Schizosaccharomyces pombe: one gene and its partners. Changing the gene in region 3 together with the main gene of any one other region gives a genetic interaction. Each region holds a gene or a part of one and is shown on either strand. Other genes may lie near its edges.

What was found.
Region 1: mutations in upf3 (region 3) and nop10 together harm fitness less than expected from each alone (positive genetic interaction), as found in Schizosaccharomyces pombe (one large-scale study listed by BioGRID).
Region 2: mutations in upf3 (region 3) and SPOM_SPCC417.09C together harm fitness less than expected from each alone (positive genetic interaction), as found in Schizosaccharomyces pombe (one large-scale study listed by BioGRID).

What each region holds. Positions count from the first base shown.
Region 1 is NC_003424.3:1,634,544-1,637,236, forward strand, and holds nop10 (snoRNP complex protein), read right to left. Parts: upstream 962-2,693; coding exon 784-961; exon of another isoform or gene 732-783; coding exon 715-731; 3' UTR 568-714; downstream 1-567. Other genes in the region: SPOM_SPAP27G11.12 (uncharacterized protein), read left to right, coding at 1-199; SPOM_SPAP27G11.14C (uncharacterized protein), read right to left, coding at 1,519-2,693. UniProt on the Schizosaccharomyces pombe protein: Non-catalytic component of the H/ACA small nucleolar ribonucleoprotein (H/ACA snoRNP), which catalyzes pseudouridylation of rRNA and is required for ribosome biogenesis.
Region 2 is NC_003421.2:1,690,623-1,696,327, forward strand, and holds SPOM_SPCC417.09C (transcription factor), read right to left. Parts: upstream 3,963-5,705; 5' UTR 3,811-3,962; coding exon 3,464-3,810; intron 3,315-3,463; coding exon 2,894-3,314; exon of another isoform or gene 2,795-2,893; coding exon 2,205-2,794; intron 2,106-2,204; coding exon 1,160-2,105; 3' UTR 597-1,159; downstream 1-596. Other genes in the region: dipeptide transmembrane transporter Dal51, read left to right, coding at 5,104-5,705.
Region 3 is NC_003424.3:2,296,899-2,300,720, reverse strand, and holds upf3 (protein upf3), read right to left. Parts: upstream 1,823-3,822; 5' UTR 1,743-1,822; coding exon 1,588-1,742; exon of another isoform or gene 1,529-1,587; coding exon 1,422-1,528; exon of another isoform or gene 1,372-1,421; coding exon 797-1,371; 3' UTR 653-796; downstream 1-652. Other genes in the region: protein Mac1, read left to right, coding at 1-199; heat shock protein Ssa1, read left to right, coding at 2,968-3,822. UniProt on the Schizosaccharomyces pombe protein: Involved in nonsense-mediated decay of mRNAs containing premature stop codons.

The DNA of each region.
Region 1 (2,693 bases), 660 kb from region 3:
GGCTATGATAAAAACTCAAAAATACCCAGCAACTAATCAACCATACATTCCGAAATATAGAACAAAGGAATGGAGACAACAATTGGCAAATTTTGCTCGTCTATTCGCCTGGCAAGTCTCATGCGATTTAGACAGTCATAAAAGAGAAGGGCCAGGCATCTTTGAAGGTACGGATGTCAAAATATTTGACTCATTTTAGACTTGAAATCTCCTTGAGGATTATGCTTGAGCGGCATATCTCCGTTTTAAGAATTGAAATGGAGAAATTTGAACTATCCTAAGTTTTGTATGTTCAAAGAGTCTGTTTGAATAGATACTTGGCTTTTTACATCTGTTTTATTTTTTTATTATTTCTTTTCACAAATTGGTTAAAAAAATGTTGTTTCGTTTTTCATTCAGAATTACCACTAGTATGTTACTACTTTTATCGTTATTTTACATTCTCAGTAACTGTTTAGCATTTACTAAAAGATTTTATGTATACACCAGGGATTTATTCTTTGTAGTTTAATAGATAATAAATGCAAATGCCAAACAAATAATGCTTCGCAATAAACATCGGAAAATCAACTCAAGTTGAAATATATTTTTTTTTCAATTGAGCACACTACTCACATAACCAAAGAAAAATCAAAACTATTGATTATTTAACCAAAACCATACTTATGTAGCTCCCTTCTAAAGGCGAAAATTTTTCGACGTTTTCTTATTTGCTCAGTAAGGTTTTGCAGCTAATCGTTAGAACACTATCATTATACCAATTAATTTAATAGAAATACTTACGCAATTGAGTAAGTAGTACATGAAACCGTTTTTTCAGAGTATAACGTTGTCGAGAATATTTATCGTCAGGAGAGAAACGAGCAGGATGCGAAGATTTTGTGACTCTTCCATCTGGAGATACCTTTTTTAAAGTATAAACACGCTTTCCCTCATCATTTAAATAATACATCAAATGCATTGTGAAAAAAAAAACGGATATTACAATTTTCCTATGGTGCTGGAAAGGTGTAAATGTCAAAAGTACCTCAACTTCAGGTGACTGTTTTTGTTGCTAAATTACGCTAAAGCATTATAACACAGACATAATCAAATATTAAATTATTTAGCGACTCTCTTCTTTTATTATTCACTAAAATTTAAAAACAATACTGTAAGCAGAATAAGCAATATGGGGTTAAGGATATAGCAATCTTCGTAAAATTAAAACAGCTATTGTCATTATAATAAATTAGAATAAAATAATTTCTTTTAAAATCCGAGTTTTCAGCTATTAAGAAAATGCGATTAATTATTGACCAAATCAGATCCAACTATTTAGTTTACATCTTTAACATACGTTTGCTTGGAACATTTAGTAATTGCACCTTAGTACACTTAACTTATGGGTTATTAAACAAGGGAGTTAAACCTCTATTTTAAGCAGTTCGTTTTTGATTGTCTTTCTTTAGGGAAATATTATTTTTTTTTTTTTATTGCGCATCTAATTAAGATAGATAATTAATTGATGTCTTTGCTTTAATAATCACTCAAAGAATTGCTCTTTGTCTCCTTTTCAAACATATCCATTAACGTTTGACTAAGTTTGTTCCATGCAACCTCCCCCATTGAATTTTCAAAAAACAAAAGTAAATTAACCAACCGCGGTAGAAGACTGGATTCTGATAAATCATCGTCAGAATATCTTTGTACTCTGATATATTTCCTTGAACAATTGAATATATGGCTCAAATTATCATTCCTAATGATACACTGTAATCCACCTAACTTTTGCACTGCCTTTAAGCTTGATGGGTAAATTATGTACGGACATTGTTTGTGATTATATTTTAGTAACTTCTCTGCTTCTCCGAGATCCAGCGTTTTCCCCACATCTGTAATATGCCAACAGAGCATTCGAATCGGGTTGATCAATAGTCGAGATATAAACCAGTGCGAACTGAATGATTGGTGGTAAAGGCTATTTTCAAAATTTCTTTGCATAAATTTTAAAATAAGTTCTTGTATAGCGATTCTCTGTTTCGGTGTAAGCGACTTTTGTCGCTGATGAACAAATTCTGACAAGTATTGAAACAACGTTGATTCATTGTATTGCTGACTATGTAATTTTGTCAGAGCGATTCCTTTCCTGGAACAGAAAAACAAATTTTTCAGATGAGTAGAAGACATAATTTGATACAGACCACCCATTGCAGCTACAGCATGTAGATGGTATCGTTCCAAATGGAATGGATGGGCAAATGATTTAAGAAATAAGCGGTTTGCCTCCTGTAATACAACCATTTTTTTTGCAATCATTAAATAAGAAATCAGACATAAGGTTGGCTTAACCAACAAGCTAGCGAGCAACGTATTAAATGAAGAAGAAAAAGAATTATTGAAAAGTTCTTTTTCGGATAACTCTTTCCTGGCGACGTTAAACTTTGAAACATATAAATCAAAATTTTGGTATATAGTCTTTTCTGATTCAGGAATAGATAATATTGAAATTGACTCGTTAGATATTAATTTATTAGGAATCACAGTTTTTATGCTTCGAGTAAACTTGTAAGTTTCTTTTTTTGTCTCCTCGACATTTATTGTTTCGTATAAAGAGTCAATCATGGCATCCCAAACGTCCACTGGAACAATTTTCTTTCGATTTTTGGAAGATGAATATGCTAATAAAAAAATTTTTGCGACAAATAAGTCAT
Region 2 (5,705 bases), on a different chromosome or scaffold from region 3:
TGCAAAAAAACTCTCTAAACCGAATTCGTTTATCCTATTTTAAGCTCTGAGGAAGCATGATTCCATGACCGAAATATTTGAGACTAAATTGACAAAACTTGACAGTCGAATACTTAGTCATCAAGAGAAGCCTTTTCTTTGGTAGAAAAGTTGAAGAGAAATATACAAAAGCGTTATAATAATTGTTAAATTTTGAGTCAATCAATTAGTTAAATCGTCCAACTAGAAACTCTTTAAGGGAATATTGGCTGAAATAAATTTAAAGAACCTTTATCCATTCCCCTAATGAACGCTATAAAAATCATTTATTACATTATCGAACGTCTACGGCCATACCTAGGTGAAAACACCAGTTCCCGTCCGATCACTGCAGTTAAGCGTCTGAGGGCCTCGTTAGTACTATGGTTGGAGACAACATGGGAATCCGGGGTGCTGTAGGCTCCTTTTTTTTAATCAGTTAGTTGAATTCATTTCTAGTTATTATTTTTCATTCTTGATTGCAGACGCTATCCAGTATTTCCATAGTTATCGTTTACACAAGGAAACTTATATGAGACTGTGAAAGTCAAAAGGACTATACGTTAAAATGATTGTCAATTCAGCTTGTTTATGATACTTAAAATATTGAATTGCTAATATCCATAAAATGAAATAACGAAAATTTCTATCATACTCAGCGAATCGCAACTGTATATGTGTATGTACAGTTTTCTGTTCAATAATTCAACACTCGTCAATTGAAGCCTTTAATTCCTTTAAGAGGGTAATTAGAAACCAAGCTAAAACAATTGCTTCTAATTGAGAACCATTAAAACGGGTTTAATCTAGATAAGACAAAAGGAAAGATACAATAAAGTTAGAAGTAAAATTGTGTTAACAGTTATGCACGTTATGTATTCATTAAAAAATGCAACTGCCTATTTTTTTTATCTTTTGTTTTTTTTTTTTTGGAAAAGGATTTGGTCAAATCAGCATGATTTGATCATATAAAAAAAGGATGCAATGTGACCATGGGAAAAAGGGTTAACTTTCAGTTTCATTTGCTTTAATAGTAAATATGTTCAGTAAGGTAGACCAACTAGGAGAAAAGAATAAGGGTAAATTAAAATATCGACCTTTTTAAAATTCAGGTTTGAGTAGTTTCGAAAGAAAGCCATCATTACATGTCTCCATCGTCACTAGGGAAAATGAAGTTATCAGCGGGGAGTAAAAAGCCAAAACCCTTCGCATCATTGAAAAGTGCCTCTAGTGAGGCATTGATATTTTCATCATTCCAAAGATTTTGTAGGTTGATTTGATTATGATAATCAGCATCTCTAGGGAAGAAAGGCACCTGCGTCGAATAAGCTGGTTCGGTAGCATTAAGCCTTGATTGATATACCTCGCTTTGTTCAGCAAATGCCCGCAAGTTAGTTATGACATCCGTACTTCCTTTTAAAAGTGGAAATCTGTCGGTAACAAAATTCAAAATGTCAATAGCCGTATTCAGTTGTTCGATCGTTTGTTCAGACGGGTTGATTAGAAGATGCACCAGAATGATAAAAGAGGCGGCATGACATGAATGGTAATCCATAAATGAATAGACAGATAGAAATTTGTGCATTCTTAGTAGTACAAGGAGGTCGACAATGTGCAAAGCGGATGAATAGCAGTATGAAATTAACTTATCAGTAAGAAGCCTAGCTCCCTCATCCGTCTTACTATTCATCGTTCTTTCACGAAGCCGGTGTAGTAAGAACGGTCGGCCCATGGCAATTCGAACAATATGATAAGCTAGATGCAAATGAACGATACCTCTGTAAGACCTGCTATCTGGGCCAATGTTTTGTATTTCTAGATCAGGAGACAGTTGTTGGCGCCATGCCTCAATTTCGTTTACAATCTCTTTAATGGTAGCTGCTTTTAAGTTCGCCTTTCCATGTAGCGAGGAATACCACATGTCATAGACTTTATTAGTTAGAAGGGAAATTTTAATAGCTAAGGTGAAGGTCCGGAAGCTGGCAATGAAGTTTTGCGAATCTAAACTTTCACGGTATTCTGGAAAATGAATATCAATTTCGGAACGCACAAGACTCTCGGGCCTGCCCAGAGAAATACCTATTTTTCTAAAAGTTAAACGTTAGCATAAAATAATGAGGAGGAATAATAAAAAATTCTCTTCTTCTTCCCAGACATGAATCTTGGGAAGTTTTCAACAGCCTTACCTTTCCATGCAATATACACTCCAGAAAAGCCGTTTACGAAGTTCAGCAACATCTCCGGAAAATTGAGCATTCGCAGACTTTTTGTGCATACCATTGGCAACAGCAGCTCTCATAGCTATACCAAAGTACATGTATACAACTTCGTGTGCCAATGTTGGAGACAAATACATACCGGCTAGGAAGAAAGACTGTACTGTTTCCAACGACGATTCACTGATGACTTTGGGAAAAAGAAGTTTGGCGTTTTGGTAAAACTGAGAGCCAGGATAAGTCCAACGATCGTGATTTTCATCAGAAAGGAACTCTGGATGGCGAATGTAGGAGAATAGACTGCCCATGGCCATGCTCAGAAGAAGCATACACACAAAACCACCATCTTTTGATTGAAAGGAAGTTGGATCATCGAAAAGATGATGGACTTTTGCAGCAAACAGCTTGGTATTATAATAAAAATGGTTGTTGTCACTAGAAAATTGCCAAAATGTCATAAGTAAATAAAAAGTGATATCCTTTGGGGGTAATGCATGGATTAAAGAGGCGACAGTATTATCGGCGGGATCTAAAATATCTTCAAATGTTTTATTTCCTTTCTATTGAGAAAAACGGGTTAGTAAAGAACAGTAAAATCGATGATGCCCCACAACATAGCAAGGGTATGAAATGAAGTAGATGAATCCATCAATACATACGTTAGTGAGTTTATGCTGCACCTGAAATTCCCTGCCCTGGCAAATGATCTCGTGCACGCGAGCGACGAAGCTTTCGTTAGAGCCGGCATCTTCGTAATATGTCTGTGTCTCATTCAAAGTCACTTGTTGATAGCTTCCAAGTTCGATGTCGGTAAGTACTTTATCAGGATAGGTTTGAAGGCTTTCACTAAGCTCCGCAATCTTTGCTTCCAAGCTGGGCAAATCCAAGCTCATACTTGGCATGAGTTTAGAAAGGATGGTCTCCATATGACTGAGTCTCTGAAGATTGAGAGAAATTTCGTCTTTATTCATAAGCAATCTAGGAGGAGTTTCTATTACGCATTCTAATCCTTTTTTAAGACATCTGCCACAGGGAAAGTTACCGACGCATTTGATTTTATGCTTTTTGCATTCCACACAACTAATATTAGCATTTGAATGAATAGACAAAAAAAAAGTAGAAAAAATAAAACCAAAAAAAAATTGTAAAGTAAGGAAATAAAGAAACAACTACATAATTCAATAGATCAACTAAATAATACGAAAACAATAAATATAGTAATAACAAACAAATCAAGCAACTTTTGGTTGGAATGGCGGCTGATCGAACGCGTACAAACTAAACGTCTTTCAACTCGACCAAAACAACCAGATGCATATTTATTTACATACGCAATAGCTTTTCGAATCCTTTTTGAAGGTGGAATTCGCTCGCCTCTTCTTCTTTTCGGTTTTGAGCCTCCAGCGCTCTTCTTCCCAGTTTCTGCTGTGCTCGCGTTCGCGTTCGCGCTGCTGCTGCCAACAACAACATTACCACCCCTTTCTTCTTCCTCTAGTTGATCCTCCAACTCCATAGCTTCGCTTCTACTCATGCCACTACGACTCCTATCCTCATGGGGCTGCATCCTAGCATGCATGCAGTGAGAATGCAGCGGAACTCAAGCATTTACTATTCTAAGCTATTTATCCAAACAGAAAACCCTCGATTTTTGTGTATGGAATTCACTCCAGCAACTCCAGCTCCAGTTCTCCTCGCTCTCGGAGATCTCGGGGCCCATCCGTTAACAGTGGTTTGCACGTTTGCGTACTCGCCCATTATCTTGGAAATGGCGGCATGCCTAGCAATCCTATCCTGATAGCCCCACGGCTTCCACCGCATTTCCACAATCACTGTGCAATTTTTAGAGAAATATCACTAGCCTTTCTAAATCCGAAATAATGACCTTGATGGATGACACTATCATTTCTTCTTGGTATACCCAGTGTCTTAGTGTATTATATTTCCGGTGGCTATAGCCGACTTAGACATCTATTGCTATCTTGGTGGAATCATATCTAAGCATGGCGAGCGATCAGTACTGTTTTACACTAGTATATGTGGTAAGTGGTGATAAGCTGCGCTATGAGTGCTTGGACGAAAAATTTAAAAAATGAGTTGGGAGCTCGATGTTAGCGTTGGGATGAGGAAAAATCAACGTATGAATGATATGCGTCTTGATTTCCCCATTTCTCATCAAGAAATTCCTGCAAAGTTAGAAATGCAAGACCCAATGTTGGCTCGACTGCTTAGGAAGCGTTTCATTCCATCATTTATTTATTTTATCAAGTATTTACGGTTTTTACGCCCCTGATATCCGATCTTGGATGTTTGTTTAAACGATGAAACTTGACGAATAGATAGGAGACTGACGCATCAACTTTGCCAATTTACCTAACATTATCAAGTTCTCCTATATCTCCGGGCTCAGAAGATCTTTGGAGGAACAATGGGGTAGCACGATATCGGGTATTTAGTGCTAAAACCAGGTAGAGTTGGTAGGTATTGCAATGTTTAATGATAGGTGCAACAGTAGAATTTTTGGTATGTAGGAAAATGTGCGATGCAGTGAACATACTCGAGATTACAAACCGGGTACACCAACCGGAGGGTGGATGCCAGATAACCAAGTCAAGAGCTTGTCTGCCTGGTTTAAAAGGAAGGGATCACCTTGCAATGCTACAAGCCAATTTCATTAGTATATCGATCCTCAATAAGAAAAACAACCCGACTACACTCATTATAAGTGTTGGCGAAAATAGCTTTTACTAAATTTCATTCTCTTTTCCCTCCTCTAATTTTAATTCTTTTTTCTTTTTTCCCTTTCCTTTCTCTACTACTTTTAGACATACTACCATAATCCCGCTTAGATATTTAAGCGCCTAGCGAGAAAATGTCAAGCATCAGTATAGACGAAAAGCTGAAAGATCCCGAGAGTGTCCAAAATAAGGAAATTCTCGATGTCGACGTTGGCGATCTCTCGCCAAAAGGCGTGGATGCTGCTTTCAATTACGCCCTTGATGTCGACTACGATGAGATCGATCCAGAAACGGAGCGTAGATTGGTACGCAAAATCGATTGCACAATCTTCCCCGTCATGTGTCTAGTATACTGCATCCAATTTTTGGACAAAACTTCAAATTCCTATGCCGTTATCATGGGTCTCAAAGAAGACTTGAAGATGGAAGGTCAAATGTATAGTTGGTCAGGTACTGCTTTCTACTTGGGTTACCTTGTCTTCGAATTCCCTGCATCTCTTCTTCTTCAGCGCTTTCCTTTATCCAAGACCTTGTGTGTTTTCTTAGTCATTTGGGGTTTCTTGCTTTGCATGACCTCAGTTGCCAACTATCCTGGCTTTATCGCTCTTCGTGTGCTTCTCGGTATGATGGAATCTGCCGCCAGTCCTGGTTTCATTCTTCTCACTGCTCAATGGTACAAGCGCAGTGAACAACAACTTCGTACTTCCGTATGGGTCGCTTTTAATGGTTTGGGTCA
Region 3 (3,822 bases):
ACATGGCAGCCTGAATACCGCCCATGCCGGCATGGGTTATGGTCCTCGCAGTATGATGAGAGACCCTCAAAATTTATCTAATGTTCCCCCTGTTTCAAATACGTTAGATCAGCTTTCAGGCAACGCTGATTTCGAGCTTCCGGTTCGTGGTAACCGTAATAATAGACGGGGACCTGGTGGAAATCGGATGATCCGTTAATGATTATTCAATTGGACATTTTGTCTTCATTCTGCTAGCTTATGTATAATTTGAGAATTGATAGTTTCGGTAAACTGTCGATTTATTCCCTTAGATTGATTCTTTACTCATCTTCTTTCATTTCATTCATTTTACTTTTATTACAATTTTACTATCTCTTTGGCGAACCTATTAATTAAAGGACTGGTTCCTTTTATAAATTTGCATGCACAGTTTCAATTATTCATTTTACTTATCTTTCCATCTCATTAATATTCTTTCAGAATAAGCATGAGAACAATGACGATATATTGGTATTACATTAAAAATAGTTGTAGGAATTGTGTAGTGCTATCGCAAACAGGTACTTTTTTATGGTTTGTAGAGTATGTGTTTTAAAAGATTTTTTGTTGCATTTATATTTACGGGCCAAAGAATACAGTAATGCAAAAATGTATCTATCATCAGTGTATCTTATGAGTTTGGAAAACAACCAATTGATTAAAAAGTATAATTAAAGATGCTAAGTTGATCGTGATCGTTGACAATAAGGCAAACATAAAGAATGAGGACTGGAGGAATTTCTAATTTACACACTAAGGAAGGATAAATACTTTTTCAAACATTATCAGTTGTTAGCTGATCTTTCTTTTTAGAAGCGATCTTTTGTTTGCCAGACGATTTCTTCTCTTTTGTTTTTTTATCAGAGGCATTTTCGGAAGCTTGAGAAGCAGTGCTATTAGAAACGGGGGTTTTTTTTGGCTTCTTTTTAGATTTTTTGCGATCAGAAACTTTATCTTCTTTGATTACAGCAGCTGCAGATTCAGCAGGTGCCTTTGAAGACTTTTTTGATTCTTGTGAGCTTTTACCAGCTTTTGAATTGTTAGATGCCGGCTTTTCAGCCAAGCGTAGCTTTTTCTTAGCCTTCACAGATTTCTTAGATGGTTTTGATTTTCCTTTTTCTACAACGGCATTTTTTTTCTCAGCAAGATATTGTAGTAATGGAGTAGAGGTTTGTAATTTTTCAATAACATCGTCATTGGACGCAGTTTGCGAATAGCTCTCCCGCTGAACCTTGAATTCTTGAAACTTCGGATCTTGTTCAAGTGAGCCTTCTAAACTATCTGCCTTTACTTTAGAAGGAGGAATCTTTTGATATGGAGCAATTGTGACAATTGCCCTATAAGTGTTGTCTAATGCATGTTTGAGTTAAAAAAGAAAAATTTGAATGGTAACAACTTACTCTTCTTATCTATGAAGGTATGTCCTTGGTATACGCGAAAAAATTCCTGAACAGCCGTGGCGGATTGGAACTTCAAATACGCAAAGGATAGCAATTCAGATCGAGTACTACAAAGGCACGATATTAGTAACTATTTGCAAGAAAGGTTAAAGAAATAAATAAATACCCAACAGTTGCTTTCCCTTTGGAGAATCGGTGCCATTCCACGTGTGGTAAAAATGAGTTGATGGATTGGAGAAACACTTGTTCAGGCAAAGTTGGTGGTAAATTAAAAACGAGGACTTTGCATGGTAATCGTTTTTTTGAGATATCAGGAGCCATCTACATACATGCAATGAAATGCTTAAGGTAGTTCCCCTATTATAGAAAATTGGTGATTGATGATAACCAAAGCTTTTTGTAGGGAGGGTACTTTTGCGCTACTTATTTTAAACAACCTTTCCTTCGTTTACCAGACCAATACAGCAATCTGCAATTTACTGATAAGGTTGCAATCATTTAGCCTCGTTTAAATAACTTAAAGAGATGAAGTAGTGCCTTTTTCTAAATGACGTTACGATGTTCTACCAGTTTTCTTATCCAAAATGCGAGACCAATTTGTTCATCGTTACTATACAATTAAGGAATTGATTATTGGGACAGGTAATTGCACTATTGAGTGCTTCAGTAACCTAAATTTTCGCAACTGTGCATTATTTCATATACCGCATTTTTTTGCTATACCGTTATATTTCAGTCTGCTCGAGTAATCGTGCGTTTATACTCGTTTATTCCACTATAACTTTATTTGCAAATGATGCAGAAGCTGCAAGAATCGTCTCATACTCTGAAAACGGTTTTTTCACCATCAATTAGTGCAATCGAAAGACAAATTTGAAAAACATCTGTATGCTCTAATTAAGTCATCACAATGAAAGTAACTGTATTCGGCAATTGCATACAGAATTTACTCTAATGTAAGCGGGAAGCCATCGCTCGACAAGTGATGACGTTTTCTACTCCACATTCGAATAATGTGGAGGAAAAAAGGTGTTAGCGAGTTTGAGACGATCAAAACTTGGTTTTACCCATTGATAGTTAACAAGGTAGTACGGATTAATAAAAGGACACGTCCAGCAAATTCTCAAGCGTTTTCGCTGGATCGTGATGGTTTGGAAGCGAATGTTTCGGCAACTTCGAAATGTTTCGATTTTTTTTGAGTATCGTAACGTAATTCCTTGACTTCGTCAGAATTCGTTCTCCCCGTTTCTCGAAGCATCTCGAGGGTTAGGGTTGGTGAAGGTTCGAGAATGGACAAAGGTACATAAATAGAGGTTGGGGGACGGCGAAAGGGATATCAACAATTCTTCAAACAGCAATTGTCGTTTCGATTGTTTATTTCGTCTTAAATTAAAAAAAGCATTTTCTAAAGCGCATTTGTGCGAATCTATCGTACCTGTGTTATAATACTTATTAATTCACGTTTATTTTGTTTACGAATTTAATTTCATTCCCCCGTTTTTCATTGATACGAATTTTCTTTACGAACTATTAATACATTTCAAATATGAGCAAGTCTATCGGTATTGATTTGGGTACTACTTACTCGTGCGTCGGTCATTTCTCGAATAATCGAGTGGAAATTATTGCCAATGACCAGGGAAATCGCACGACTCCCTCCTATGTTGCATTCACTGACACAGAACGATTGATCGGTGATGCTGCAAAAAATCAAGTTGCTATGAATCCTCACAACACTATTTTCGATGCCAAACGATTGATTGGCCGCAGATTTAACGATCCCGAAGTCCAATCTGATATGAAACATTGGCCTTTTAAGGTCATCGAGAAGGATGGTAAGCCTTTGATTCAGGTAGAGTTCAAGGGTGAGACCAAGACCTTTACACCAGAGGAAATCTCCTCTATGGTTTTATTGAAGATGCGTGAAAGCGCAGAAGCCTTTTTGGGTGGCAAAGTCACCGATGCCGTTGTTACTGTTCCCGCTTATTTCAATGACTCCCAACGTCAGGCCACGAAGGATGCCGGTTTGATTGCTGGACTAAACGTCCTTCGTATCATTAACGAGCCCACAGCTGCCGCCATTGCTTATGGTTTAGACAGAAGCAACCAGCATGAAACCAATGTCCTTATTTTCGACCTTGGTGGTGGTACTTTTGATGTCTCCCTTCTTACTATTGAAGAGGGTATTTTCGAAGTTAAAGCCACCGCTGGTGATACCCACTTGGGTGGTGAAGATTTTGACTCTCGCTTAGTGAACCACTTTGCCCAAGAATTCAAGCGTAAGAACAAGAAGGACATCACTGGCAACGCTCGTGCTGTTCGTCGACTACGTACTGCTTGCGAGCGTGCCAAGCGTACTCTTTCTTCTTCTGCTCAAGCCAGCATTGAAATTGATTCTTTG